Linked DNA regions of Styela clava. The protein of the gene in region 4 interacts with the protein of the main gene of each other region in a pairwise test. Links are inferred from orthologs where the notes say so. Each region holds a gene or a part of one and is shown on either strand. Other genes may lie near its edges.

The links.
Region 1: the proteins of cell division cycle 5-like protein (region 4) and pre-mRNA-splicing factor SYF1-like interact in a two-hybrid assay, tested with the Homo sapiens proteins (2 studies listed by BioGRID and IntAct, with this or other methods). The link is inferred for Styela clava from reciprocal best matches to the Homo sapiens genes CDC5L and XAB2.
Region 2: the proteins of cell division cycle 5-like protein (region 4) and TRAF3-interacting protein 1-like interact in a two-hybrid assay, tested with the Homo sapiens proteins (2 studies listed by BioGRID and IntAct). The link is inferred for Styela clava from reciprocal best matches to the Homo sapiens genes CDC5L and TRAF3IP1.
Region 3: the proteins of cell division cycle 5-like protein (region 4) and dixin-like interact in a two-hybrid assay, tested with the Homo sapiens proteins (2 studies listed by BioGRID and IntAct). The link is inferred for Styela clava from reciprocal best matches to the Homo sapiens genes CDC5L and DIXDC1.

What each region holds. Positions count from the first base shown.
Region 1 is NC_135255.1:19,051,449-19,059,112, reverse strand, and holds the start of pre-mRNA-splicing factor SYF1-like, read right to left. Parts: upstream 3,002-7,664; 5' UTR 2,961-3,001; coding exon 2,866-2,960; intron 1,245-2,865; coding exon 1-1,244. Other genes in the region: small ribosomal subunit protein mS26-like, read right to left, coding at 4,170-4,808. UniProt on the Homo sapiens protein: Involved in pre-mRNA splicing as component of the spliceosome. Involved in transcription-coupled repair (TCR), transcription and pre-mRNA splicing.
Region 2 is NC_135261.1:18,105,752-18,112,643, reverse strand, and holds the start of TRAF3-interacting protein 1-like, read left to right. Parts: upstream 1-3,881; 5' UTR 3,882-3,919; coding exon 3,920-4,042; intron 4,043-4,753; coding exon 4,754-4,822; intron 4,823-5,509; coding exon 5,510-5,671; intron 5,672-6,214; coding exon 6,215-6,327; intron 6,328-6,892.
Region 3 is NC_135264.1:14,176,136-14,184,159, forward strand, and holds the start of dixin-like, read right to left. Parts: upstream 3,007-8,024; 5' UTR 2,966-3,006; coding exon 1,055-2,965; 3' UTR 1-1,054. Other genes in the region: thioredoxin reductase 2, mitochondrial-like, read left to right, coding at 4,787-4,871, 5,354-5,482, 5,953-6,097, 6,511-6,585, 6,954-7,092, 7,353-7,423. UniProt on the Homo sapiens protein: Positive effector of the Wnt signaling pathway; activates WNT3A signaling via DVL2. Regulates JNK activation by AXIN1 and DVL2.
Region 4 is NC_135252.1:11,955,301-11,963,020, reverse strand, and holds the start of cell division cycle 5-like protein, read left to right. Parts: upstream 1-4,701; 5' UTR 4,702-4,779; coding exon 4,780-4,928; intron 4,929-5,376; coding exon 5,377-5,581; intron 5,582-6,282; coding exon 6,283-6,421; intron 6,422-6,494; coding exon 6,495-7,720.

The DNA.
Region 1 (7,664 bases), on a different chromosome or scaffold from region 4:
AATTGATTGCGCCATCAAAATTCTCGTGTCGTAGTTCCATTTCAGCCCACTCACACCACACGGTGGCCAGATCTTCAACGCCTTTGTAAGACACGAGGACCGCTTTTCCAAAAATTGTACGAGCGTCGTCAATTTGATCATGCTTTTCATAGAATTTAGCGAAGGAAACCCAGAGATTAGAAATCTTTCCAACGGATTTTGGTATTTCTATTGTCTGTATAGCTTCTGTGTATGTATTGATGACCTGTGCTAAGTTATCTTCGTAAAGCTCGACTCGTTTAAGCCATTCGTTTACATTGTGTGGATTCTGCCTCAAGAGGACGCTATTGAGAAGTAATGGACGTCTCGTAATTAAATGTTCGAACCTTGCGAGTCGTAATTCAATATCAATGTCATCTTCTTCATTCTGTTCCTCTTCAGCCGCCTCTTCCATTTTCGAACTAATAACGGACTCTTCAAATTGAGCGTACGCATCGAAAATTTGTGTAAAATCACGGACAGTGGTCACAGTTTCTATTGCTTCTTCGTAAATCTCTCTCGCTCGTTCAAAAAGTCCGCTTCTGATGTAATAATCAGCTAAAGCGCACCAAAGTTGTCCTAATTGGTCAGTGAAACGTTTTAAACCACCACGAATAATTGCCTCGACTTTTAGCGAATGTACTTTATCAGGATTCTTTGAAATGAGTTCACATAACTCATGCCAAAGTAAATGATTCGTCTTTCCATGTTTCGACGCAAAACTCTCGTCGTTAACAATTTCCGCAAGTTTTGTAGCTGCCTCATCGTAACGATCGATCGATATTAAATATTCCACGTAGTCTTCACTTTCTTCTGGAATGAGTTTCAGCATTCGACGAAAAACTCGAACTGCTGTTTCATGAATGGGATATTTTTTCACAAATTCAATATACAACGGCCAAATCCGATCATGCTGCGTCACTGGAAGAGCTTCAAGGCAGCGATCAAAAGTACGACGCGTTCTCGTCAGACATCTTTGATCCACAAGAAATTTACAATAATCTATCCAAATCCGGGGCATTTTGTGCATAAAAACTAACGCTCGTTCATGTGCGTTATTAACTTCTTCAAACATTGAGTCCGTAGGACATCGACCTTTAACCTGGCTTCGTCTGATTCGTAGATAGTTGTACCATAACTTATAGCTTCCAGGAAGTTCTTTCAAAGCTCTCTCATAGACCATGTTGAGCTGCTTATAAGGTGCATTTTCTTTGTGATCAATGTACCTAAAAAAAATAAATAACTTAGGACTTTCGCATATAAAGCATTCAGAGTCGGGGTGGGCTTTCTTTTACTATAATACTATCCTTATATTCAATAGACTTGGTTACTGGGCCACAGATTCAAAACTCAATATGAAACCATGAATAAAGAACAGTTTATTCACAAATAACTGTTGTCGATAACAATCGTTGCCTGCTTGTTCACCTGATGTGAAGCAATACGTATTTGTTGCAGGGAATAACATTGGAAGATCAGCAAGCAACATGGGTATAGACAGAATAATTGGATTTCAGCAGTGGCGCAGATAGGCGGGTTACAGTGTCAAAATCGCTCTGCAGAGATGCTGAATTTTCAGAATGGCATGAATTTGGATGGGTGAGTTTGAGGTATAAGTGGGTCGTTTTGCACATTATATCCAGGTGCGGATAATACATAGAGAATTGGGTTGTAAAGTCACAGATATTTGCCATCTGTCTTTAATCGTTTCAGACCTTAATCTTTCAGTAAATTTGTACGCTAAGGAAATTATCGCAAGCGACAAACAATCTTCCAAGCTAAGGTGTACTTTATACTTCGGTTTCCAGTGGATCATATTCATTAACGACTAATAACCCTCCAGGTGTAACATCTGGGTGGTATTGACTAATGTAAAATTACATAGAGCATACACAACAACTTGATAGTGAAAATAAAAGTTTAGCAAAGTCCATGTTCTGATCATTGAACACAAACCTGAGTCGGGGGGGTTTAGTTGTTGAAGCGTTACACTTCAAGTTGAAATCAGGAGTTCAAATTCCATAGTCACCTCACCCTGCTAGGCCACGGTTGAGTAAGGTTTTTGAACCAGAGGTCAAAAATTTTGCCAACCAAGACTTGGGGGCCATGTAAGAATGACATTAAAAGTTACATTTTATAAACAGAATTTTATTTACAGTGTTACAAAAGCAAAAATGTAAACAATGAGCTTCGTGACAAAACCAAATTTTATCGCAATCTCGACAAATTTCCGAGGTATTTTTTCCTAAAACATCAAAATACAAATTTAGTTTGGTTGTGGCAGCATCAGATTGAATTCGCCGTTGTTTGCCCATGTCATGTCTAGGCAATGTCGAGCCAGAAAGATTCCGGCTCTTTTGATCAATAGTAGATCCCGACCTAGCAGTGGGCGCTTATGTATAGCCTAATTCTAAATATGTGATTAAAAAACCAACGAGAATATCGGTTGGAAACCGAATACTTATCGATCGATAGTTAGGGGATCCCCCAAAACAGACACTGCAGTTTTCATCCGCTTCATCCGCTCGTGTAACTTGCGCACTGCGCGTCGCACACACACACTCGGCGGGTCTCAAAATCCTCTCGCTTTACAAAAATCTAGATCACTTAATCAATAATTGATTGATAACTCGCTAATTATACGACATAATTCGCCCAAAATCAATAGGAATCTGGTCCGAGATAAGATGAATGCACATGCAAAATCTGGAGCAGATTCAATCTCGCTTTCGTGAGATATCGCGCGCATCTAACAGACACACACACACACAGACAGACAGACATACATACAAATACCTATCAATATACTTACCGATCTTAAGATCGATAAGTAATAAATAAACCTACCTCAGCCAGCATTTGACAGAGAATGGATTGCGCAATATCTCTTCTTCATAAGGTAGGTCATCTTCTTCCAAGACCAGCTCATCCACAGATGGCATATTCTTATTCTACAATAGGTCTAACGGTACAGAATTCTAAAAGATAAAAATAGGAACACATAGTTTTAGAGTTTAAATGATGAAGATGATTCCAAAACATAAAGAATGTATTATCAGGAATTCAGTCCTTCCTATGGGTTAAAGACTATAAGATAAAAAAAGACGGCATGAATACCTTCACACAATATTTTGAGCATTAGCATATATCGATACTCATTTTACAGAACAGTTCATTAATAAAGACGCTCCATTTTGGGATGAAATATATTTTGCCACAAACATTAAATAAGATATTTGGTTCTAGGGTTAGATTGAAATCAAATCGTACTGGAGTTTACTAGCAGTCGTGAAAGCGAAACTTCAAACAAAGCAAAATTTTATTCAAACCTGGGTCCAGCCAACTTTTGTACGATTTATTAATCAAAACCTTATCAACAAAAAAAGTAACATATAGCAGCACTTTCACTGTTACACTGATTTAATGTCTCAATGATTCCCACCAGAGGACGAAGTTGGAATCATACTAAACCAGGTCCCAAACAAAAGATAGACAGGATCTTCATGGGATCCTACCACTACCACAAATTAAAATTTTTGTCATGAAGTCAGTTCTCAATATTTTGTATTTGTTACAAGACTTTATAAGCACCATGTACTGCACCACAGCAGAAAATACTGTGGCATTGGTTCCCAACCACGGGCCTGTGGCTCCCTAAGGAAGCCACAGAGCAGTTGGAGAGGGGCCACATTGCTAGCCGCAAAACTCATTTCAGTTTTACTAAATGAAAAACCCTGTTCTTCTTTTTAATAGCTTGATAAGCTTATTTCACAGGGTCTTTTCACTTCGTTGAGCATGAATTGTTTGAACATTTAATAGGCTTTGGAATCTGCCAATCAAAATAACACTTTGAATCCCACTGGAATGATAAACAGGGGGGCAATGAGTGCTAAAAGCGCCACGAGCCATAAATGTTGGGAAACACTGTTATCGTCAATTATGCACCTTATGTGCACCTCAGAACCTTAAGCACACAAGTAACATATAGCAGCACTTTCACTGTTATACCACATGTAATGCCTCAATGATGACAAAAGATTATAAAGTCCAGTTGCAATTTCAAAACTTCGTTATGAAGTCAGTTGCCAATGTTTTCTAATTGTAACAAGACTCTATGAATCCCATGCACTCTAGCATCACAGATTAAAATACTATGGTATCACAGTTCTTAACGCAATTCTGCCATTTCTTTTGACAGCAAAATTAAAGTTAACCACATTGTCTAAAGCTTCTTCAATTTTTTCTTCCAAATTTTCCTCGCTAATCCAATTTTCAGATTCGTCTATCGCTGTCAAAACTTCTTGCTCATATTTAGCAAGTTTATGTTCGAATTTTTTTTCTAATAAACTGACTTTCTGGCTCAATTGTTGTTCTTGGTTTTCCAATATTCGATCGAGTTTTTGTTCTCGTTTTTCCCGCATTTCTTTGTTATGAGCTTCATTATACGCCATACATTTTTCATGGTGGCTTTGTTCATCGAAACTATTTTTTGAGACAGTTTTTGATTCCTTTTTAGCTTCGTTTATCAATATTTCTTCTTGGAAAGCAGCAGCTATTGATCTCAGCATTTCATTATAAGATTTATAGATTAATTCACTTTTCTTTACATCATGTTCCGTAGGTCTCGGTTTATTAAAATATATCCCTGCTTTTGAAGGTGCTCGACGTGGTAGTAACCACTTCGGCTTGCGGTATCGGACTTGTTCAAGAAGTGGTAAATGAAGTTTCGTTTCAAGCATGGAAGGCTTATAAAAAACTCGGCTCAGAATATTGCTTCGTACCAGAGCCATTCTATAGAAACTGCAGTTGAAGGTATCTGTTGTAAATCAATTACGGTATCTATACATATCTAAACCGGTATGAACTGGAATATTTTAAAAGAAGCGATGCAAAATCAGAGTCCAATAACTTTCCATTATTATTTTGAATGCCTGTAACAAAATAATCTGGTCTTGAGTAGTTTCATACCTCAAGTACTTATAGTTGGCATAGGGTAACAATTTTTGGGGTTAGAACTGACATATGCCAAGTACTTGAAGTACGAAACTACACTAGACACGAATAATCTCAACTTCACCAAAGTGCATAAGTGTGAAAATTCTAATACCGGTATCATCACTTTTCATAACTGGTTCAGTGTTTAGAAAATGATCATTATACATATATAATAAGGAATTTCAGTTAAATCGGGTGAGTGAGTCATGTTACTATGATTTGTAATAGTAGAAATGTTGCCTACAACACAGACAACATCAGAACATGAACATGGAATCACTACCGGTATTCAGTTATTTGAATGACTGAATGACACCGACTGACTGAACTGGAATATAAATATAGGATTTCGTGCTAATTGTTATGAATGCGCAATACGTTGACCACCGCAACCTTGATTACGATACCGTACCCTGTGTTAGTTCGCAGGTTTGAATCTAGTGAAAGATGATACCGGTAATGAACGAGTGGGTTGCTAAGAGTTCTTGCAGTTTTGCCGCCGTGCCGGTACCGGTACTGCGTAAGGTCTTGCAACAACGTACCTATTGTAGTGCTCACTCGTTGGCTTTCTTCACTCCATAACGAATCTAAAACGTTATCCCAACGCAGCATTCACAGAAGTAAATAACCCCGAGAAACCTTTTATTGTCGAACTCAATTCCAGAGCAATTCCGGCATGGAATTATTCAATTGTATTTTTCACATGCTGAAGCACCAAATAAAATGTTAGTGGGGTCATAGGTCAAAAAAATTCATCTCCAACACTTCAAAGTTTTTCCTTCGTTAAGTCAGTTGACTCATAGAAAAAAATTACAGGATTTACCGACTACGTTGACAGTAGTAACAGGTAGTATTGCTGAAATTCAACAAATATTGGGATTCCAGTGGCGACGAGATAGGGTGATAGTTATTTATGAGTATGAGTTTATTTTGATTTTCCCGTAAAAAAACCTACACAAAACAATGAACTCACAGAAGATTGGGAAACTAACAAAACCTTTATCAAGATTTGAAAACACGTGAAATATATATGCCAGTTTACCAATATTACCCACGTAAACATACATTTGCTTTGGGTTTCGAATACTTAACAGATGAGTTACACGAACGTGAAGCATAATGCGACAGTGAAGAACAAAATTATTTTTAGGGAACAGAGCGATGACAAGCGTATTTTTAACGTCAGTGTGATGCGCCAAACCTCCAGTCCGGTGTTTAAAATTCTATTTCAGTTAACTGTTCAGACTTTTAACTATTCCTAAACAGTATGAGCACCTCGCAATCTGACTTTTGTACAGACTGAATAGTGTACAATATGCGATGTAGATATGTAGTGTCATATCTACGTAAAATGGGTCTTTTGACAAAGTTTAAAAATGCGCTCCTTCGATCGTTGATTGACAACTTTCAACGATAGTTATTGGATTGAGATACTTGTGTTTTATTAAGTATAAATACGTTTTTAAATTATTTCCAATTCGGGATTATTTTATTGAACCATTTAACCTTTAAAACTTTTTGAGCCTCATGGATATTCATTTTATGACACGCGTTGTTCGCTTCGCACAAGCTAGCTGTTAGAGCAGTGTTTCCCAACTTGAGTCCGCGGAGCGGTTGAATAAGTCCACAACGAGCCAAAAATTCAATGCGTGCCGCAAACGTTTTTGCGCAAATTAACTATCAGCCAAGTTACGATTTACGTTAGAATTTACATAAAACATGAAAAGCAAGTTTATTCACATAACATTAATCGAGTCATTTTCGTGTACATTACCCTTTACATCGATTTAATTGTCTACTTCCGCCATCGTAATTAAAGCTGAAGCTTAGCGAAAAAATGCTAATCGACGTAACAAAGGCATATGAATGTCCGCGGTTCACCGTGAAATAGGGCATCCTGAATTTACTGGAAACTATTCTATACAGCAATATGTGAATTTTCATTTTTTTCCTGGAAGTGAGAAAAGTTGATAAGCCAGTTCAATCATATGACTGGAGAATTAGTTATTCAGTTCGAATTTAGATAGGATTGAAATATTTCACCCGGGAGAGGAAAGCCGATAAGATGGTTTACGACCGTGTGTCGTCCGATTACCACTCCGTTTCGGGTAAGACATGATATTAGTCAGCTAGGTATTTCTTTCAGATGCTTGGAATTGATGGTCGAAGAAGCCGCAACCGACCAGCGGTTACGTGAACAACCCTACCGCGGTGAGGAGTCCGACAATCCTATCTCACATAAATATCCCAACGGTATTCGAACCTGCGAACCCACGTACAGCAATCAGAGGTACGATGACGAGCGTATTCCTAACACTCAGAATGATGCGCCACTGGTTATTTGTTTCAGATGCCTGGCCTTGATGGTGTAGAAAGCCGCAACCGACTATCGGTTACATGAACCACCCTACGGGGGGGAGGACTTTGGTATTCCCAGCATAAATGATTATTCGTTGGCGGGAACCAGCGAACCGCAGCCGGGTAGTCCAACCGCTCAGCACGATGATATCTTTTGATAAAAAATATGTACGTGAAGTAGGCACCCGCCTGTATATAAATCATTGTTTAAATAGTCCCCTTTTTGTTTGAACTTGCGCTAGTTTGTTTATTTATACATATTATCTTATCATCATCCTTTTAGATTAGAGTTG
Region 2 (6,892 bases), on a different chromosome or scaffold from region 4:
TTTCGTTTTTTAGGACGTCATGATGATCAATTTAAAAGCTAGCTAATTCAACATAAAATGAATCAACCGTGATGAATTTGAACTGACCGTAGTGATCAACAACCTCACTTAAATTTGCTTGTTTACAATCCATGACTTTAGAAACCTTACTTGAACATTTAATATATATTCTATATATTCCCGTAACCAAGTTTCCTACCTCTGTATCATACCGCCCTAATTAATTTTAATTATAATTACCGGTACTTTTATTGATTAACAATATTTAAAATAATTTGGACGTTAATTTGGTTAGTTTTGGCTTCTATCTGGTGAGTGAAGCAGGGGTAGCCCACCTCTTCATGCATCCAACTTGGCAATTCTGATTGGGCAATTTGGAATTAGGTGACTCCAATTATAATCAGCTTGACGATATCTTTTGAGGAATATTTTTCTATCCACAGTATATAACTCTTTTTTGACTAATTCGGTATCCAATTCGGCAATCCAATTATTATTTGGTGTGGCCGCAGGGATGGCCATTTCCGAATACTAAGCTATTCCGGATACATTCTAAAATTGAAAATAACACATTTTTGTTTTAGTTTATTAAAACCCAGTAAATTAGGAAATAAGCTTCAATAGAAATATCAGAATAAAGCCACAAACCAACAGTATATGTACACAAAGTAATTGATAGCTCATAGCTATCAATAAAAAAATAATAGCAACTTGTGACACAGTCAGTTTATTAAAATTATTCACTCTGTACAAATGACCATATGAAAAGATAGCCAAGGAGTTGTCTGACGCTTTCTATCATTGGTACCATGATATTTCGATAATAGTCAAGTCTATTGACAAAATACTACTTCAGATAATTGTGTATATTTTCTAAGAGTAATAAAATTTATTGGCAATACAGACAAATGAAACAAGCAACAACAATCGAAAATCCATTTTGCCTTCGAAAATTCTAATATTTAAGCCTAGAGTATTCTACCTCTTACCAGTATATTTGTATATTAATTTATGTGAATCATATTGTTATTATGTGTAACATATTGTTGTGTTTGAAATTAGAAATAAATTATTAGAGGATGGATGACCATCACTGCCAGCCGCGCAGCCAGAATTTTCGAAATCGGAAATTCCCATTGCCGCCTTTAACACCCACCGCGATTCTGCGCTCGTTAAAAGAGCCGTCTTTTCAGCGTATAATGATCATCCTGTTACGTAAAATATTCAATCCATGACAACTACGAGATTCTAAAATATCTTTATATATTAATTTAATGTGTCCAACGTAACTCGCGGCTTCTTCTTCTTACGTCAAAAAAAACATTACTATTCGGTCCTTGGTGATCTGTGACCTAGAAGTACGAAATAAACTGCCTGATGTACTTAATTTTAATACGTATTTTTGCAATCTTGCCAACTCGTTATCGCCGTTAGAAAAATCCCAAATAATGAAATAAAATCTTGTTAAGTGTAGAGTATATTTCGTTTCATACAATGAATATACATATAAAGTTTAGCAGTGAATTTAAAAATACATATTCATCGCCGCGATTATACCACCTGTTAAAAGAGTCAACTTTTACAACAAATAATATGACAACGAATACATATTTTTCTGTTGTGCAAAGTGATGAATTCGTGACCGATTCGGGCATATTTAAAATGTCTTGCTTTATTAATTTAATTGTCTTCAATTTAACCTGCGGTTGCGTCGACAGAATAAAATCCTCACCACTCTTATATACCATTGCACCCGCGGTCATAAAAATAGAAACGTGTGGTAAACTGCCCGATTAATTAAAGTTTTGATCCCTATTTTGCGAATTCGGCAAATATTTAGATGTAGCCTGCTTGTTATTAGTGACTCCGCTCAATCGAAATGCTGCCACTCTGATTATTTTTAGATAAAACCGTTCGAAAAACCCATAAATCTGCTGTAACATCTCAGAGTAAAATTTATTTCATCACAATAAAATTGATTGAATATACTTTAGATTAATTATATTATATACATCCTCAGAACCCGGGAAAAAGTCGCGTTTCAAACCTTGTATCATTATTCGACGGCAATTTAAAGTAATGGATATTCAGGCAAATCCCGCCCTCAATTCGTGACGATATGTTTCTAAACGACGACCAAACATAATGTGTGCCAGAGGCACACGAAATTTTGCGATTTTCACTGCGTAGAAAAGCGTTTTTTAAATTTTCGCGGGCCTCAGTAAAACTTATATCGATTACGGTTTTATTTTCAGTATTTTAAATTGCCGCTTTTCAATCAAAAAGTTGCGTTGTCTCTAGAAACTCGCCGCCGATGAACGTATTTACCAGATTCACAATTCTGTGCGGGTACAAAAATAAAATAATTGTCATCGTTATCGTGGAACAAATTTGTGGAAAAATCACGCGCAAGTTTCAATCGAGAATGTTTTCATTCAACGGAAACGTCTTGAAAGCGGCGTCGAAAATGTGTGACGTCACACAAATATCCGATATTCTTATGAACGTTAATTCCGATATTCGGAAACGTGATATTCGAATACTTTATTCGAATTGGCCATCCCTGGCGTGTGGGAAAAGAATTTATTCATTTTTTTTATTTGTTTGCCAATTTTCTTCTTACTGAGTAATTGATTTTATGTCTCGCTTTTTTCACTCCCGACCTTATCATGCTTCGACGATTGTATGTTTGTGTGTGTGTGTGTGTGTGTGTGCGTGCGTTTATTAGTTTTGATACTTTTGGGTGAGCGAAGACGTACTACTTCTTTTATCAATACCTCTCCACCTAAAATATGTACGCTTTAAACCTTGCTTGAAGTTTCGTTTGCTTTCCCGACCATGTAATCAGTTTTATTTATTTTGTTTTTATCAATTGCTTTATCGTCTATTGCTGATTATGGAGTCGAAATAAACTTTTACTTATACGTATACAATTTAAGCCTACGAAGGAGTACACCATGGCCGCAAATCAAGAGCGCCTCGAAGCGGTGACCTAAACGCACATAACAACAGCTTGATTTACACCGTAACCCAAATAAAATCACATTTGGGACAGATATAAAGGGAAACAGGGTTTGCTTTTCATTTGTTTTCGGGCCTAATTAATTACTTGAAATGTAGGAGGAGGTGCACTAGTTAGAGCTTAGAAAGTGGTCGTCTTGACCATTAAGATTTTAAATGCTTTATCTCAGCTTTCACTCAAGAATTATGAGGAAATGTGGAAACAGGAATACCTGTGACTACCTCTTACCGGTACTGGTATTTCCAGACTTTATCTTTCTGACTTAGGAATCAGAACTTTGCTTTTTTTGTTAATGTACCGGTGCCGGTAGTCGACTTTACGGTACAGCAGTATCACTGGCATTTCAGCATTTTGTTTCTTACTTAGTTCTGTAGTTGTCTGACTTTATTATATTTACAGGCGCGGCGGTGTGGCTCAACGGGTTAAGCGTTAGGAATACGCTCGCCACCGCACCTCTAATTACTCTGCGTGGGTTCGCAGGTTCGAATCCCATGCTCGGATGGTTATGTGCGAGAGGATTGCTGGACTCCTCGCCGTCGTTGGGTGGTTCACGTAACCGCTGGTCGGTTACGGCTTCCTCCACCACCAAGTCCATGCTTCCGAAAACAAACAAGACAGTGTAACTAACTAATCCCATACCCGACTTGGAATGGTAACCGGACGAGAGGCCGTGGTTCGCCATATGGATAAGCCGTCTTATCGCCTTTCCTCTCCCCCGGGATAATTATGTAAATCCTATCCTATCCAATTTGGTGAACATTCTAAACAAATTTCATAAAAATTCTGAAATTGGTAAGTTTCGAAATTTGTAAATACAATACACTTTATATTCCAATATACATCTTTTTTATTAAAGATTTTGAGCAATAATACTAAATTTGAATAATCATACTCGAAATGGGAGAAGAAGTAATGAAAAAGACGAGAGATACTCTCGGAAAGATTATTAAAAAACCTCCACTGACGGACAAGTTGCTTTCAAAACCACCGTTTCGATTTCTACATGATATATTCACAGAGGTTTGTATGAAAATGTTTTTGAATAAGTTATATCTCAAAATTACGATCTTGATGGTGTGACTTTTGATGAAAATTATTTGCCTCCTAAATTAAGCATGTACTATCCTTTAAAAGCGAGGATTGGCATATCAATCAATATATGAAATAGTTGGCTATTCCAAATAATAATTGCCAAACATCATCAATATTTTGGGTTTAAAATAGAAAAAAGCTGTTAATGGTTAATGTGATAATTTACTCAATTAGTACCACAAAGGAAAAAACGAAAATACTTTTACAAAATATTATGATTTTTTATCATATTTGTCCATAACCCATTTGATTTGTTCAGGGTATTCGATAGTGGGTTTTGAAAATGACAGTTTTTGTAAAAAATTCTCACATTTTACTGCTCAGCTGTATTTAAGACTAATACGATTTCTGATCTAAATACAGTCATAAAGACAGAATGATTACAATTAAAATTAGTGTGTGTACCAGGTTAGGGTTCGGCCATAATTTAATCCGATTTTCCTTATGTTAGTTCAGTAACGAGTTCGGGCCCTCCCCATATGTTTCAGTCCCTCCACACAACTTGATGTAGAGTAGGCGAACAAAATTAGTTACCTCAATATTGGAACACACACTTCTGGAGCGCCGTCTTGTTTGTACTAGCTGATATCTAATAATGTACTGTTGATTATTGTTATAACAAATATGCAAACTTTCTAGGTGATCAGAACAACAGGATTTTTAAATGGACTGTTTACTTCATCAGAGATGGATTCTAAGAATGTGTCTGTAAGTTGTTTAGTCAGATATAATTTAATTTTTTATCGCATTCATCATAAATGATGGGAATAAAAACAGTAATTATTAGTTTAGATAAACCATCTTGCCGTGAATAAGCCACTCTCTGTTAAGCAAAGAAATAAGGCCCTATTCTGAATTTTAACCAAAAAATTTTTAATTTTTATTTTGTTGGGGATCCTATACATGGAAAGCGAGAGATTTTTACGGCCTTCAAATTTTTGTAATCGTTCAGGGCAAGAAAATATCTTCCAGTGGTACCAAATTTTTTTGATACATTCTCCCCTTGGCTCATTTCCCCAACATGTCAGAGTTCTGTTTTCGGTTGTTCTTTAATCAATAATGGATTATAAACTAGTGATCTGCATAACTTGCACTCTGAGTTTTGTATGCTTTATTTGAATAGTTTATAATGTAGGCAAAAATATGTATTATAATAATATCACACAAGTAAAAGATATTAGTAATACTATGGAGAAAAATTTCCTCAGGTAAAACATAAATTTTTTTCTTTGGGGTTAAATTTCACCTCGATTGGAAAACACTGTTGCCATTAATAACCCATGCATGGCCATCCAAGTCTTCTCATCCTTTTACCCTTCAGTTTTTAGATAGTTATGTTATTTACTCCATACAGATGCATGGACACTTTTCACTAGCAGTTTCTTCTTTGTTTAGGCAAAAGAAGATAAAATGGCATTTCTTCAAAAAGTTATCGACGTTGTGTCAATAGTATCTGGTGACCAACTAGCTGCTAGACCATCAAAAATTGTCGCAGGACACGAGCCTGAGAAAACTAATGAATTACTTCAAGCGATTGCTAAATGTATTCATAAAAATGTATGTTGTTGATCATTAGTACCATAATTGAAATTTAATTTACTACTAAGTGCTAATTGTAGGAAACATGATTTCAAACATCTCATTAGAGGTAGTAGGAAATTGTGTATCGAACTGCAGGTCTGTTCTCATTGCCTACTTCAGATTCATATGAAGTGGTTGTTGCCACAAGGATGCTTGAACGAGATAGTATTGAAAGATAAATAAGAATATCATAATCTCTCCCCATGAAATAGCAAGCATATTTGAGAGCTTCCATTAGATTATAGTCCCTAACTTCTTCAGATAAAACGAGACATAAGCTAATTAAACAGTGAATAATACATAATGTATTGTCATCTAACAAAACCTCCATAATATACTTGCTATTTGGGGAAAAAATGATGTCATTCTCATTAGCCACAACTTTTTATTTGAAATCCAAAGAGACACATGCTAACTATGTTCTAAGTCTAATTTTTCTGATATTTTTGTGTATTTGTTTTCTTGACTAGAATCTTGTTTAGGAAGAGAATCAAATATTTTGTTCAAAATTTAATATAGGTTTCATCAGATGATGCAGTTCAACAAGTCCTCACTGGTAAGAAAACATCATCAAAAGTTCAAGAGAAACCTCCCACTGGATCTTCAAAAAAGAAAGAAGGAAAAGAAAACAGGTTATTATTAAAATGAATTTCAGCTTTTTTTTTTTGTAATACCAACTCTTGAAACAGTGGCTGCTGGACCTTCAATAAACACTCATATTTTGTAAACATGCTTTAAAGTAAATGGTCTACAGATGCTTTGACGCAATGCCATAGAACAGGGTGGTCTAAGGTTGTCAGCTCCGCGGGCCACAAAATCATTTTTGCATTGCTCGCAGGCCTCAATAGTGCCAGGATTAGGTGAACAGTGCAATACAAAACAGACGCTTTTATTGTGCAAACACATAGTTATCAGACATTGCCATCCAAGGCTAATAGAATCCGCATTAGATTTTTAGTTTTCTATTGTTAGCATGTATTCCCGACCAAAAAGATAGAAAGCCAGATAATAATTTAGACTGTCAAGCACATCATTCAACTTCGCTAGTTGCCTCAACTAGCCATAACACTAGTCAATTCAGTGACATTAGTGGTGTAACAATATGTAAAAAGATTTTTTTCTGATTAATTTTATTACAAAACAATTCGAAATGCTATTTTTTGATTACTCTCCGAATGTGACACGAGCCACAGATAA
Region 3 (8,024 bases), on a different chromosome or scaffold from region 4:
ATTATACCCTCGAAGTAAAAATGTGTAGACAAAATTGATATTGTGTAACCACAGTAAAATTATAGTAGCATATGTCACATTTCAGAAACAGACTTTATTAATCTTCTGTTATTATGGACAGGGTCTCCCCTTCGGTATAAGTTTCAAAGTTGTATTTATCTTAGTGCCTTATGTCAATTTTAGACTTTGCTATAAAGCAGTGGTTCCCAACCGTTTATGGCTCGTGGCCCCCACCCGGAGGCTTTTAGCCCTCAAGACCCTAGAATTGTGGCCCCCCCTCCAACTGCTCTGCGGCCCCAAGTTAAGAACCCCTGCTATGAAGATATGGAAATTAGAAAAATGCGATTTTCGCAAAACCTTAAAATGTGACAGAAGCTTATTCAATAATACTGCGGCAATGCATTGAAATATATTATATTGTAGGTAGGCGATGTCTTCGGAACTATGAAATTACACTTAAACACTTGAAATAAAATACTTTGTCATCAGCACCAATAAAGAATGATATAAATTGTTATAGCAGTAGTATATGAATGTCTATAACAGAATGGTTATTCCTAATAAGCCTTTTTTTCATTGATATCATGATATAACCCAAATTATATGAATTGAATTAAAGATTCCACTACATGATGAGTTAATTTCACAAAATGGTATTTTCAAATGATCTTATTTGAATGCATTTATTGTCATCTTCCACTGATTAAACAATATGTTATTTAGTACTTATTTCATAACAATATTGAGCAATTTTTGGTTTTATCATATGAATACATATATATATACGATCAGTTTAATGAAGACTAGCAAATGACTCCTACAGTATAATGGTATTTATATAAAGACTAATTAATACATTAACCTAGCAAATGAGACTGCTATTGCAGAAAATAGCTTTTCTATAAATAACGGAATTATAGGCTCTAAGTATTACAACAGTAATTTAATTTGGAAAAATGTAACTTTAAAATACAGTTTTTGAATTGGGATACTTGAATAGACAGTGGGCTAAGGTCTGAAAGAATAAAAATTGTGTGAATCTGAGTTCTAGCGTCTATTCTCTTTCTAACCATGCTACAATTTTACCCTCCCAACCAGGGACAATGTCATTATCATTGAAAATTTCCTTTTTTACTGTCCCAAATTCTGGGTCAAGTGCTTTAAAATTGAATTTGTAATTATCGGCAGGTACTTGAATTACACTTTTAAAATCTCGCAAAGTTATTTCGCCAATTTTTTTAAAAATTGAAGCTCTGGCTGGCGTCATGTTTCTCTCTGTGAAGTAAATAACCGTCGTTGACGCAGTTTTTTGCGCCATGTCTTTTTTACGATTTCTAGGTGAATGACTCGCAGATAAACGTGGCACTGATAGTTCACTTTTACGACCATAATTCTGGTTGTTGTTACGCTGGTCTCGTTCCGTTAATGACATCACTGCTTGTTCAAGCGTGTCAATAATGTGTTGTCGTGAATCATGAGGTGCTAAATTCGAACGAAGGCTGTTTAGAGACTCTGAAATGACAGTCGTTTCATTACCATTTCGTTCTGGTTTACTTGATTGTTTATAACGCTGTAAAACCCGTAATTGTTGACTTAACTCTTGTACTTGTGATTCCAACCTTTGCATAGAGGTTAATTTACTCTTACTTTCGTCTCCAATTTTTTTGAGTTGTGTAGACATTGAAGTTAGTTCATCTTTTAAATGCTTAATGGTAATATTTTTTTCCGACACTTCATCTGATAGAGATTGTTTTGCCCGTTTATTTTCCTCTATTTGAGCTGCTAAATAATCTTTTTCTTGTTTCAAATTATCACTCGCCAAATTTAATTTCAAAATTTGTTGTTTCATTGACAAGAGCTCTTTTTCTTGTTGTTGCGTACGACTACGCAGCGCTGATATGTTTGCTGATGTACTCCTGCATTCTTGTCGTACATCGGTAAGTTCGGTTTTCAATCGATTATTTTCATGTTGACTCAAATCAAGTCGACTTCTTAGAATTACGTTTTCTTCGTCTTGGGAAGAAGCTTCTAAAGGAAGACTCTGCTCATTATCACCATCGCCTGGTTCCTCTCCATTTAAAAGTAAATTTTGTAACACTGATATTAAATCACAAGTGCTCGATAAATCACTTTCTAAATCATTATAATGTTCCGTCAATTGCTCAGAAACATTCGATGCATCCCTGCTTCCACCAGATGTCAGTATAACTTCACTATTTATAGAAGAGAGATTCTGCACCGTTGTTGTCGCAAGGCAATCATTGCCAGTTCTACTGGACCGCTGAGGTAAACTTGGTGATGCCCAAACGTCATCAGAAGAAGATAATTTATTCAATGAAAATGAATCTGTCTCGTCTGAACCAGTTTTTGGCAGATCTGACCGGTTTGATGTGGTTCTGGATGAACTGGAACTGCTATTATTGTTTCTTCTATAGTCTGAGGTAGGGGTGCTGCTCTTCCAACGAGGGCGAAAACCTCCAGATAAGCTTACATTTTTGTGAATATCACTCAGTGCAACTTTGGCATTTGCTGCTGCAGCTGCATTAACCGTTTTCTTTTTTCCGACACTAGCAGGTTTAAAGTGTGCGGCCAAGGTCAGAATTAATTTCATCAGACTTTTGACATTACCATTAATTACATCTTTCTCAGTAATGTGATGCATTCGGATACTTTTCTTCGTCAAAAACTTTAATACTGAATTAATATTTCGTCTTTTTTCTTCAAGATTTTTCGCAGGAATATAAACTCCATCCAATTTTTCTCCGGAAATAATTTCAACTAGTGTAACTAAAACGACTCCATCACGGAAATCTGTTTTTAAATCCGTTACAGGCTTATTCCCTGCTCTCTTTTTAAGCTGGCTGTTAACCCAAGCAATGTAAGTTTCAATTTGTTTTTGATATTCCTCATTCTGTTCATTGTCCCAAGCATCCTGCCTGTTATTGGCATCAGTAGCGGCAGACATTGCCTTTTTTTTAGAAAAATACTATATCGATAATATCCAAAAAGAAAAATGAAAATATCAATTTTAATTTAATACAATCAAAACATCAGAAAGACAAGTATGAATTCAGAGCATTGGACAACCCTTGAAATAGACATCGCCAAGGCAGAAATATTCGGTACCTTGTACGCTTTATTACCATTTAATTATGTTTCACACCTTCACTCAAAAGAAGGCTCCTTTAATATCAGACTCTAATTGCCCTGATATTGATTTACAGTATGACACAATTCTCCGAATCTGGGATAGACCCACATTGAAAGACATCAATTATAGCAATGAGTGCCAACCACTCCTTTACGAGACAATCTATACCTCCATATCGACAAACTGGCACTACGCAATGAACTAAACGAAAGCACAATCTAAAAACGTCAATTGGATTTCTTGGGGGAAAAATAATTTGATTTACCTAAGAAAAAAAATTTAGCGAAGCTTTCAAGAGTTTTTGCAGATTAGCAAGCATGGCGCATCTGCCAACATGCCAGATGCCTCTTTTGAAGTGTTTGTTTTATTGGAGTCGAGACATCTTGGAATGAGAGAACTGGGCCCTATTGATTTATGCGAGAATGATTAGTTTGAAACAAAATTATTAGGTTTTATGATAAAAAAATAGAAAATTCGAAACTATGGATGGCCAGAATTAAGTGATCTTGTATTTTGAACAATATTTTCAATTACTGAACAACGGACAATGAAATACCGTATGTTCTAATTTTGGTAAAGATAAACAAGGAACTCGGCACAAGCCAATTTATGTTCAAAAATATTCACTTTGGAAGGTTAACACTGTAATGATTTACAATATCATCAAATATATCCAATTTAAATTATTCTGGAATTCCCTGGTCTGAAATTTCTTAATACCCTTTTATCATGCTAATACAGTTGATAAACTGTACATGACAGTTGATAAACTTACTATCTGACTATTTTTACTATATAGCTATATTTTCTCTCATATCTACAGCATTTAAAAGGAAAGTGGTACCAGGTCTACCATTTACAGATGTAGAAACTAGCAAATTGTCTGGTCTGAAAGTTGCGATACACTTATATAATATACTGCATCACCATTATATCTTCTATTGCGCACCAGTACCGGTACCGTAATGAATCATCTCATTCATTATCGAAGATAAAATCCGATCGAGGTTCACAAAATGCATTTCAGTATCCTAGTCAGGCATTTAAATGGATAATACCGCTAATTATCTGATGAATATTAATGGAACCATACATTTAATCTATTGATCACATTAAAATTCAGTATTAAACGGAGAATTCCACTTAATTGAACATGTCAAAATGCACAGCACTTGGATTGTAGGCTATAAGTATAACGAGCTTAAATTCTTAGACGTAATGCCTAATTCTTCAATTAATGACTAACAAGGTAACTAAAAATTATCGTTAACTTGATTGAGCCCAAATTGAAAATTTGGTCCACTACAAAATATGATAATCCGTCATAATTACCATTTAGTAAAAAGCTTAACAACAAGACAAACGGAAAACCAAAGCGAAGTGTTTTGAGTGACGTCGCGGTCAATGACGCGCTAATTTTGATTTCAGTATTTTTGATTCCCTGAACGTTTTACCAGTTGTAAAACAGTTTAGCCCACTCCCACTCCGTGAAAATTCTTTTTTTTTCCAAATACAAACGAAGACAAAGCAAATCACAAGCAATCTGAAGAATTGAAAAATACTGAAATATCAGGAGTGCGCAGTTGTACCATCTCGCGGATTTTTTTAATTCTATCTCAGCCAACAAGCGGGTTTATGATGCTGACTTTACGAGGATTGGAGGGGTTTTGTCCGACTTACCGGAGACTTCTGTGGAGACATTTGCGAAAGTTTTCTTCGGGTAAGCTTTAATATTATGTTTTAGATAACAGCCTATATCAACATTGGTTTATGACACAGAATTAAGGAATTGCAATATTTTATTGCAAATTTGTTGGAATCTTGTCATTATTCCTAATCTTGTGATCCCATGTTTCCGTCTGCAGTCTGATGGGAATTGAATATAATTCTTAAATTTATAGAGGATAGGATAGCCTAATAATGAACTAAGTATGCACTGATATAATCATATTCAAACACCTCTGCATAGATACAATTATTAAGTAAATTTGTTGCACATTTTAAACATTGCAGAAATTCATACATGTACGTTGTACATGTACAATAGTTATTATTTTGCATGCTCGCCCTCAAGATACTCTGCATTTTATTTGTTCGTTTATTCTTGTTTTGTTTTATGTAAGAATGATTAAAAATAAAATTGATTAATAGCATATAAATTATATTGCTGTGTCATCAATATGTTGCATAAATCTTTTGTAGGTGCACAAAAAGAACAATATGACTTGATAGTCATTGGTGGTGGATCAGGTGGATTGGCTTGTGGAAAAGAGGCGGCTGATCTTGGAAAAACTGTTGCTGTTTTGGATTTTGTAAAGCCCACACCAATTGGTAACGTAACATTTGTGTATCAAATTGGTATTCTGTGTTTTTCAAGCTGTTATTGCAATATAGATGGTCAGTCATGGAATCTCCAGACAAGACATTTATATGCATCTATTGATCGTCATCTATCCTCCATGGCATAGTAATTGTGTTTCAATAGAAAAGTGCTATAACTCAACTAAATTATTTGTTTAGATTGCAATGGCTTTATTTAAACTGTATGATTGTTCATTTCTGGCCATTGTTTTAACTGCTTGTCTGAGGAAGTCTTGACTCTGGTCAGACGAAACGTTACAGAATCACATTTGTGTCAGTGTGCAGCAGGACTCTTGAATTGGATAGAATATTAACATTCAATAGATAAATAATTCCTTATAATTTATTATCATTCACATTTAAACCAGGTGTAGTGTTATCCCAAGCTTGTTTGTGACTGTCTTAGAGCTGGCCATTTAAATACTTTTTGTTTCTATCAGGCACAAAATGGGACATTGGAGGCACATGTGTGAATGTTGGTTGCATACCGAAAAAATTGATGCATCAAGCTGCATTACTAGGTCATTCAATACATGACGCAAGAAAGTTTGGTTGGAATATTCCAGGAGATATAACAAATAATTGGTATGAATATTGGTTATAGGATTTAAAAGTCAAAATACATTATAAATTAGAATTGTCACCTTCACTCTTTTTTTATTAATGTTTTAGTTTGATTTCATCCTTTCTTTAATTAAATTTTATAATATTTGTGTGAGTGGTTGTGCCAACCATTCAGCATGTATTTATGAATGTTTTAGAAATTGCATGATTTGGTATATCTGCACATTGGGTGATTATGATCAAGCCGTCTTATTGGTTTTCCTTTCTCTCGGATAAATGTGTGAAACCTGTAAATTCGATCCTATATATTCAAGTATGGGACGGGAACTTTTTATGTAGTCATTTGCTATTTGAAAATGGAAAGAAATGAATTTAATATTTTTAAATTGACATGCAATGCAATAAGCGAATTATAATCGCAATATTTTTTTTAGGGAAGAGCTGAGCCATGCAGTGCAGATGCATGTCAGATCATTAAATTGGGGACATAAAGTACAATTAAATGAAAGGTAATAATCTCAGAGTTGCTTGACTATTGAGAAAACGCGACCTGCATACTGCTTTTTTAGTAATGGAGACCATTTTATGTGCTTTATGAAAAGTCATGGACAGAAATACAAACACATTAAAACCCAAATCGTTTCAAATGACCATATTTTTTTAACATTTTCTTTTATTTTGGACATTTTAGCTTCAGATCATGTAGCAGAGTATTGTCAAGAATGAATCTGAAAACAAAAATAATTGGCTAACTAATCCCATACCCGACATTGACTGTTAACCCGACGAGAGTCCGTGTGCCATATGATTAAGCTGCTTTATCGGTTTTCCTCTCCCTCGGAATAAATATGTAAATCCTTTCCTATATTTTTGTCAGAAAAGTGAAATACTACAATGCATATGGAAGCTTTGTTGACGCAAACACTGTGAGAGGTACGAAGAAAAATGGAGACAAGATCTATTTACAAAGTGATAATATTGTCATTGCTGTCGGTGGAAGACCAAGATATCCTAATGTGAGAATCAGTGAAATCTGCTTTTTAATTACGAATTAGTGAATTAGCATTTATGTACAGTGCTATGCTCGGCATAATATACAATCAAGACTGCTCGACCAACCAATCAACTAGGAAACAGTTAGAGTTCTATATGGCTCAGGCATAAGTTTCCGCCACTCTACAGCCCTACCTTTATTATTGAAATGGTCAGCTATGCTTGTGATAATTCTACTTTGTATATATGAAAAATCTTGATATTCAAGTAGGTATTTGTTTAGTTTCCAGGTGCAAGGGAACACTGTATCACTAGTGATGATTTGTTTTGGAAGAAAAAACCTCCTGGAAAAACGTAGGTTCAATTTAAGATTTGATTTATTATAATTGATGTGACGTCCTGATCATATGGTAAATCACAGCTTTTCATTTGGTAATTACCAATCCAATTCATGGTATGCACGAACAGTGGAAGAAGTCGTAACTGACCAGGAGTTCAGCAATCTTTAACTTACCCCTGGGTGCTGAATTGTAAACTTCTCTGTGGTTGTAATTTGGCTAACAATCCTTTCATACTTTGAAAGTTGGGTAATAAGTAGTGTTATTGTAAGTGCCTCGGAGGTGTGGCGCATCGTGCTAAGTGTTAAGAATACGCTCGCCACCGCACCTCTGAAAACCTACATGGGTTTGCATCGAATCCGCGTGGAGATAGTTATGTGCGAGAGGATTGCTGGACTTCTCGCTGACGTAGAGTGGTTCACGTAACAGCTGGTCGGTTACGGCTTCCTCCACCATCAAGTACATGCTAAAAATAACTGTTTAACTAATCTCATACCCGACATGGACTGGTTCGCGATATGATCGTCTTATCGGCTTTCATCTCCCTCGGGATAAATATGTAATTCATAGCCTAAGTGTGTCTCTTACACTTATCATGAATGAATCATTCATCAAGC
Region 4 (7,720 bases):
ATTCACACCTGACTAGGCTAAAACCAAATATATAAATTTATACAGCAACAATTGTTTTATAATTTATATGATGGTCATCGCTTGAATCAAACTAAGTGAAATTTTGGACCAACAAATAATCCATTTTTATATAAACGAGTTTCTTTTTAGATTGCAAAAGCAAATACCAAACATAGATATAAGCTTGGCATTAAGAAAATGAAGAATGTAACATTTTATAACATGATAAGGTAGCCTGCCATATGACCGAAAAATGTGAATACTATTCGAAGAATCTCGGCCTCATCAATTACAGACGTGCACGTGTGATTTTCCCGATAATTATTTTTATATGAGTCCGTGCGCAGAATTTACCAAGATAGTTTTGATCTAGGTATATATGTATCTTGAATCCCTTTTTCAGCAACGCCCAAACAGTTTAGTTTTCCATGGATCTTGACTATCTTTGCCATTTCCTCACATTGCACGCTATCTAAACTATCTATCTATCTTTGTATCAGATTGAATAGGTCATTATTTGTTTCAGTATTTTGAAGTGCAACAGACCGAAAGTTCGTTATATTTGGGTATATTTTGGTTATTTCTGGCCCAAGAGGTTTGTGTGTCTGTGGGTTCGTGATATTTCTCGTGTAATATAGAGTTTTCAAAATAAACTTTTCTTTTTTACTTTAATATATGTTTTTATCAGTGGCGGCGCGTCAATAGGGCCAACCGGGGCAATGCCCCGGTTGTTTTTTCGGTATAATAAAAAATATTCGAAAAATACCTCAATATCGGTTGCACAGACCGTCTACACTAGCCATATTCTCCCGACATGGTTCATTTTTCGCTCGCAAAGCCTTCGCCGAACGTCGACGGGGCGACGCCGATTTTGCTCATTGTATATCGTATTCTCTCTTTTATCTTCCACTCGCTCGTTTGTTTTCTGTTTCTTTTACTAAATCATTGGGCCGATCGGGGCTAGCCCCGAAATTATGACGACACAATACCGGCGTTTCTTACAACAACGTGTTGACATATTCACGCATTCCTTCTCGTTCGTTGGTTGCTTGAAGAGTTGATAGTTTCCTCGCCTTCGTTTTTGTCGCTTGTTTCGCTATTTGAATCAGTTAGAGACTTTTAGTCCATTTGCTTTCGATTTTCCACATTCCTTTTGAGCTCCTCACTTCTTTCCGGCTTCGCATTTCTTAGCCTTAGACCTCATAATGAATAAGGTTGATGCACTACTTCGCACTCCGTTTTCGCAGCTGCCGCTGGAACAAAAATTAGAGGTACAACGTCTTGGGCCTTATCAACCAAAAAATTGTTCACTGGAACAATCCCATGACGGAGGAAAGCGTCGGCGTACATTCTGCGCAGAAACTTGGTATAAAAAAACACGAATGGTTGTGTTACAGCGAGGACAAAAATGGACTTTTTTGTTTTTATTGCCTACTTTTTGCTACCGCCCGTGACTCACGTTGGTGTAAATTTGGTTTTAGAGATCTTAAACATCTTTCCGAGCGTGCCAGGGATCATCAATCTTCTATGGAGCATCTGGACAATGCAGTAAAATACCGAACATTCGGAAATGTTAATATTGCAGCACAGTTGGATGAAGGACGCGCGGTTTCTATTCGTCGGCACAACCAAAACGTCGAGAAAAATCGCCATGTTCTCGGTCGATTGATAGATGTTTTGAAGTTCATTGGTTTTCACGAGCTGTCCCTCCGTGGGCACGATGAACGGGCTGGCTCTTCTAATAGAGGGGTATTTTTGGATATGGTGGAATACACCGCATCCCTAGATACAGTATTGAGAGATCATCTTGATGCCGCAACTGTTTCGAAAGGGACATCTAAGGATATCCAAAATGATTTGCTCGACTCAATGTATAAAATTTATTTACAACATTTGGCTCTGGAAATTGAGAATTGCCAGTTCCTTTCGATTCAGTCTGACGAGACAACTGACATCACGTGCGTTTCCCAACTGGCTGTGATTTTTCGGTTTGTGAAAGATGGTAAACCTACCGAGAGATTTCACAGCTTTGTACCAATCGTTGATCGCACGGCTTGCGGGATATCGGCTGTACTGAAAAAAGTGTTACAGCCTTACAACGCGAAGTCAAAATTGATAGCTCAAACTTATGACGGCGCGGCAGTCATGAGTGGGTCGAAACATGGTGTTCAAGTTTATTTAAAAGACGATTTTCCTCATGCGCATTTTTTACATTGTTATGCACACCAATTTAACCTCGTTATTAAAAATATGTGTCTTGATACCCCTTTCGTCCGTATATTTTTTGCAAATGTTTCGGGGTTTTCTTCATTTTTTTCCGTTTCGCCGAAGCGCTCTGACCTCCTTCGCCAGATATGTAGCCGCCGTCTCCCAGCTTGTGCACCAACACGTTGAAACTTCCAATCACGCGTGGTGCAGGGCGTGTCCGAAATTAGGTCTGAGCTCGTTGAGTGTTTCAATGGCATTCAGAGCTATCCGGTTTGGGACGAACGCTCTGTGAGGGAGGCGGCAGGTCTAAAGCGTCTGCTAGAAGATGGTGAGTTTTTAATTTTTTCTCGCTTTTTTCTCCACAATATTCTATCACGTGGATGTATTATACGGCGCATTGCAGTCAAGGCTAATGGATGGAGCGTCTGTGCAGTCGTGTATTTCAGACTTCTGCGATGCTGTATCTCGTATCCGGGAAACAATAAAATACGACGACACATGGAGTGCTTCTTTACGCCGCGGGCAAACAACGCAGCGTTTGATTTTGTCTGCAAAGGAATGCTGTGACATTCTTGTGAATCAAATAGGCGATCGTCTGCGCACTGAACACCTTGCCGCGTTCTCTTTGATGAATCCCAAAAATTTTTTAAAATTTGCACGGTAATTTCCCATCCATTTGTTGGCTACTGTTTCCAAATTTTACCCCACGTTAAACGTGGGTAAATTGGAAAATGAATTGCGATGTATATACACCAATCAAACTTTTTTGAACATCACATCAACTTGCGCGCTCTATGGGTTCCTCATAGATAACACTCTAGTAACTACCTTTGCGGCGTCTGCAAAATTTCTGGACATCATTTTGACGACGCCTATTTCTTCCGCCGACGCAGAGCGAACATTCAGCACGCTGAAGCGTAATAAAACGTATCTCAGAAACACAATGAAGCAAGATAGATTAAATTCCTTGGCTGTTTTATCCATTCACAGAGACGTTATTTCTGGGATGCATGACTTTAATCAGCGCGTTATTGAGCATTTTGCTTCCAAGAAACCGCGGCGTGTTGCATATATGTTCAAGCAGTAGAAGTCTAGCAGCATATATATCCATGAGTGAGCGACGCCTGTCTTTATCTTTGCATTAGCTTTCCTTTCTTCATAGTAACGTTTTAAACCTTATTTTAGGTTTTGTCTGCTTTCCCGAAGTTTCTGTTAATATGTCATTGTATTTATCTGGGTAAATATTGCCTTTCCTTTTGAAAGAGGTTTCAAAACGATTGAATGGTTTTTATACTCATAAAATGATGGGAGAACTTACAGCGCTCATTCTGTCCCCATAGATGGGGGTGACTTAGTCCCACAGTAGCTTGCCCCGGTTGTCAAAATGACCACGCGCCGCCACTGGTTTTTATGTGTGTAATATGGGTAAACTGACACATGTGTTTCTGCGTGTTGTAAACCACATCACGGGTTTTGCCAGTTTTTTCGATTTTCCAATCTTTTGCGTGTTCATTGTTTAGTGTATTTTTTTTTCAAGAAGGTTAAAATAAACTTATATCCAAAATTCTGACTCCGAGAATTCAAAATTTCGACTCTGACAAGTTTGCAAATACGACTCCTACAAAAACATGCCAAAGTTTGACTCCACAACTCGCAAGTCTATCATCAGTGCATTGGTGACTACATTGACTGACTTTATTAGTTGCGTTTGATGTAATTTTTAAACACACAAGCGAATTGCAACTTACTACAGTCAGGTAGTACCGGTACTACAATATAGGCTACCAGTAAGATTTATTTCGGCATTCTGATAACGCACCACTTCATCCAACAATAAGCTAAACGGTTTGGCAGAAACGCATAAAAACGAGAGGTAGGATTTACATAGGATAGGATTTTACATATTTATCCCGGGGGAGAGGAAAGCCGATAAGACGGCGTATCCATATGGCGAACCACGGCCTCTCGTCCGGTTACCATTCCAAGTCGGGTACCGGTATGGGATTAGTTTTACTGTATTGTTTGTTTTCGGAAGCATGGACTTGGTGGTGGAGGAAGCCGTAACCGACCAGCGGTTACGTGAACCACCCAACGACGGCAAGGAGTCCAGCAATCCTCTCGCACATAACCATCCCTGCATGGGATTCGAACCTGCGAACCCACGCAGAGTAATTAGAGGTGCGGTGGCAAGCGTATTCCTAACGCTTAGCCCGTTGAGCCACACCGCCGCGCCATACCGTACCGGTACCGTATATATCGCGGAGAAGAGGGAAAACGATAAGACGGCTTGATCACATGCTGACATGGCTGCATGGCGAACCACGGCCTCCTGCCCGTGGTGCGCGATGCGCCACATCTCCGAGTACAAGAGTACGGTTACAAATGGTACAGAAATACAAAAAAATGGTTCTCTGTCTTCAGGCCAAGGTACCGGAAATAGTAACAGTAACTGGCTGACTGGACAGGACTAACCATTACGGTATTACTGTATCAACTCGTTAAGCTACTGCTTCTTTCATTTCTATAGTCTACTTTACCCTAAACATAATATAACAGTGATACACTGGTAAAATGCCTAGAATAACAATTAAAGGAGGTGTGTGGCGGAACACAGAAGATGAAATTCTGAAAGCTGCTGTAATGAAATATGGTCTGAATCAATGGTCTCGTATTGCTTCTCTACTTCACAGAAAGTCTGCGAAGCAGTGCAAAGCTAGATGGTAAGAATAAAAGAACCATCGTTTTACTCTTGCTGCTATTGTGAACTGCTCTGACACTGATATCAACCATATTTTTTCATTAAAATTGCACGGCGAAACATTGCAGAACAAGTTTGGCTACAGTTACTGCAAAAAGTTTTTTTTTCAAATTTTACGTGAAATTTAAAATATTTTGACATTCTCAGCGCAATGATGGCCTTTCATTTAGGACAACCCAGTGGCGTATGTAGGGTATAAAACTCATGTTTTTACTGAAATGATAAGTACAAGTATCTCAATTCAAAATCAGCCATTGAAAATTGTCAGCTAGCGATGAAGGGGGCTTTTCTTAACTCTGCCATGGGTGCCATTTTATATGGATACGTAACTGCAGAACAGGGACAACTTCACACAAAAAATGCTAATCATCTGGTGAAAAAGACTTCAGACATAATATGATTTTTTGTAGGTACGAATGGCTAGATCCGAGCATCAAAAAAACAGAATGGTCAAGAGAGGAAGAAGAGAAGCTTCTTCATTTGGCCAAGTTGATGCCGACACAGTGGCGTACAATTGCTCCAATAGTAGGGAGAACAGCAGCACAATGCCTTGAACATTACGAATATTTACTTGATAAAGCTGCTCAGAAAGAGGATGAAGATGACGATGCTCAGGTTTGCCATGTTTTATAACTAAATGTTTATTACTTCAAATGTAATTGGTTATGTATTTTTTATTGAAATTTAAAAAATTTTGAATGGATGAATTTCTTTTTCATGAGAGCTTTTCTTCTAAACGTTGACAGTATATAACAAGCTACTACTGGATTTTGTTTTCTTTTGTGAACCAACTTGTCATGTTCCGTATTTTACACACTATGTTAGATGGTTATTCCAGACTCAACTCTGTATTGACTAGTAATCGAATACCGATATGCAGAATGCAAGGCCATTCGAATCTTGAAAATATTATACTCTAATGAATTGTAAAAAATTCCATTACTAGTTCTATACTAACTTTAAATTCAAAATTGTGTTATATTTTGGGGGTGTTAGATGCCCCGGAATTATGTTAAAATAAGATTGGGTTGGATGAAATGGGTGATATTGAAAAAAGATGTTTATGTTCTGTGCATGATTTTCTAAAACCCAATGTTATACGCACAAAACTATGCAACCTTTCTGGAATTTTATGCATGTTTTCAATGCTGCAAACAGCTGTTTAATTAACATTTTCGAATGCAAAGGACCCATCACAAAGTCAAAAATGAATGCAGTTGTAATTATAGATTGGGGGTCGGCAAACTAAGATAATTCCATTTTGTCATGCATATAATTGTAATGTGTAGCTTTTATGAAATACGTTCATATTACAGGATGATCCAAGAAAGCTTAAACCTGGAGAGATTGATCCAGCACCAGAAACTAAACCTGCCAGGCCTGATCCAATTGATATGGATGAAGATGAATTAGAGATGTTGAGTGAAGCAAGAGCAAGACTTGCGAATACTCAAGGTCATTAGATATTATTATTAAAATTATGCGAATTTCAATATACAGTATTGGCTAAATGTTTGAAATATTACAGGTAAAAAAGCAAAGCGAAAAGCAAGAGAGAAGCAGCTGGAAGAAGCCAGAAGATTGGCTTCACTTCAAAAACGTAGAGAACTTCGTGCAGCTGGTATTGGAGTTCGTAAAAGGAGGCGAAAGAAACGTGGTGTTGATTATAATGAGGAAATTCCTTTTCGTAAGCTTCCTGCAGCAGGGTTTCATGATACTTCTAATGAGACCTTCAATCCAGATGATCCAGATTTCAAACGTTTGAGACAGGAACATCTTGATGATGTCAGCAGACAAAAGAAGGAATCTCAAGAAAGAAGAAAAGACAAACAAAAAGTCAAGGATAAAGAGCTGCCTTCTCTAATAGCTAAGCCGACAGAACCAGTTAAGAAACGGTCCAAACTTGTGCTTCCTGCTCCACAGATCTCTGATGCAGAATTAGAAGAAGTTGTAAAGCTTGGTCAAGCTTCTGAAGCTGCTAAACAAGTTGTAGAAGAAGGAAATGCTGCTTCTGATGCTCTACTTGCAGATTACAGTGTTACTCCAAACGTATCTGCAATGAGGACTCCGCGCACACCAATGATGCAAGTTGATACTGTTATGAAAGAAGCCCAAAATATAATGGCGCTGTCCAATGTTGACACTCCTTTGAAAGGTGGACTGAACACAGAAGTGACCGATAGTGATTTTTCCGGGATCACTCCGCAACAGAAATACATTCAAACACCAAATACAGTTATTTCTACACCCTTTCAAACTCCTGCTGATAAAAATCCAGCAGCGACACCAGGTATGCTGACTCCGGCTTCTAGCATTCGAAATACACCTGGTATGACACCAGTCAGGGATAAACTTAACATAAATGTAGAAGGTTCAGATGGGGGAGCCACTCCATTTGATGGAATAGATGAAAGACAGCATTTGAAAGCCTCCCTCATAAAGTTACCTGCGCCTAGAAATGATTTTGAAATTGTTCTTCCTGAAGATATGAATGGTGAAGGGGAAGAGGAACATCATGATAATATTCCATCTGATTTTATTGAAGATGCTGCCGAAATAGAGGCAGAAAAACAAGCAAAAATAGAAGCAGCTAGAGCGGCTGAACTTGAGAAAAGGCACACTATTATAAAAAGAGAGCTGCCAAGACCTTCCGTAATAAATGAAACTATTCTTCGACCAATGAATGCAAAAACCAAAGCTAACTTAAACTCGCTTCAACTTGCTGAAGAAGAAATAAAACGAGAAATGATCAAA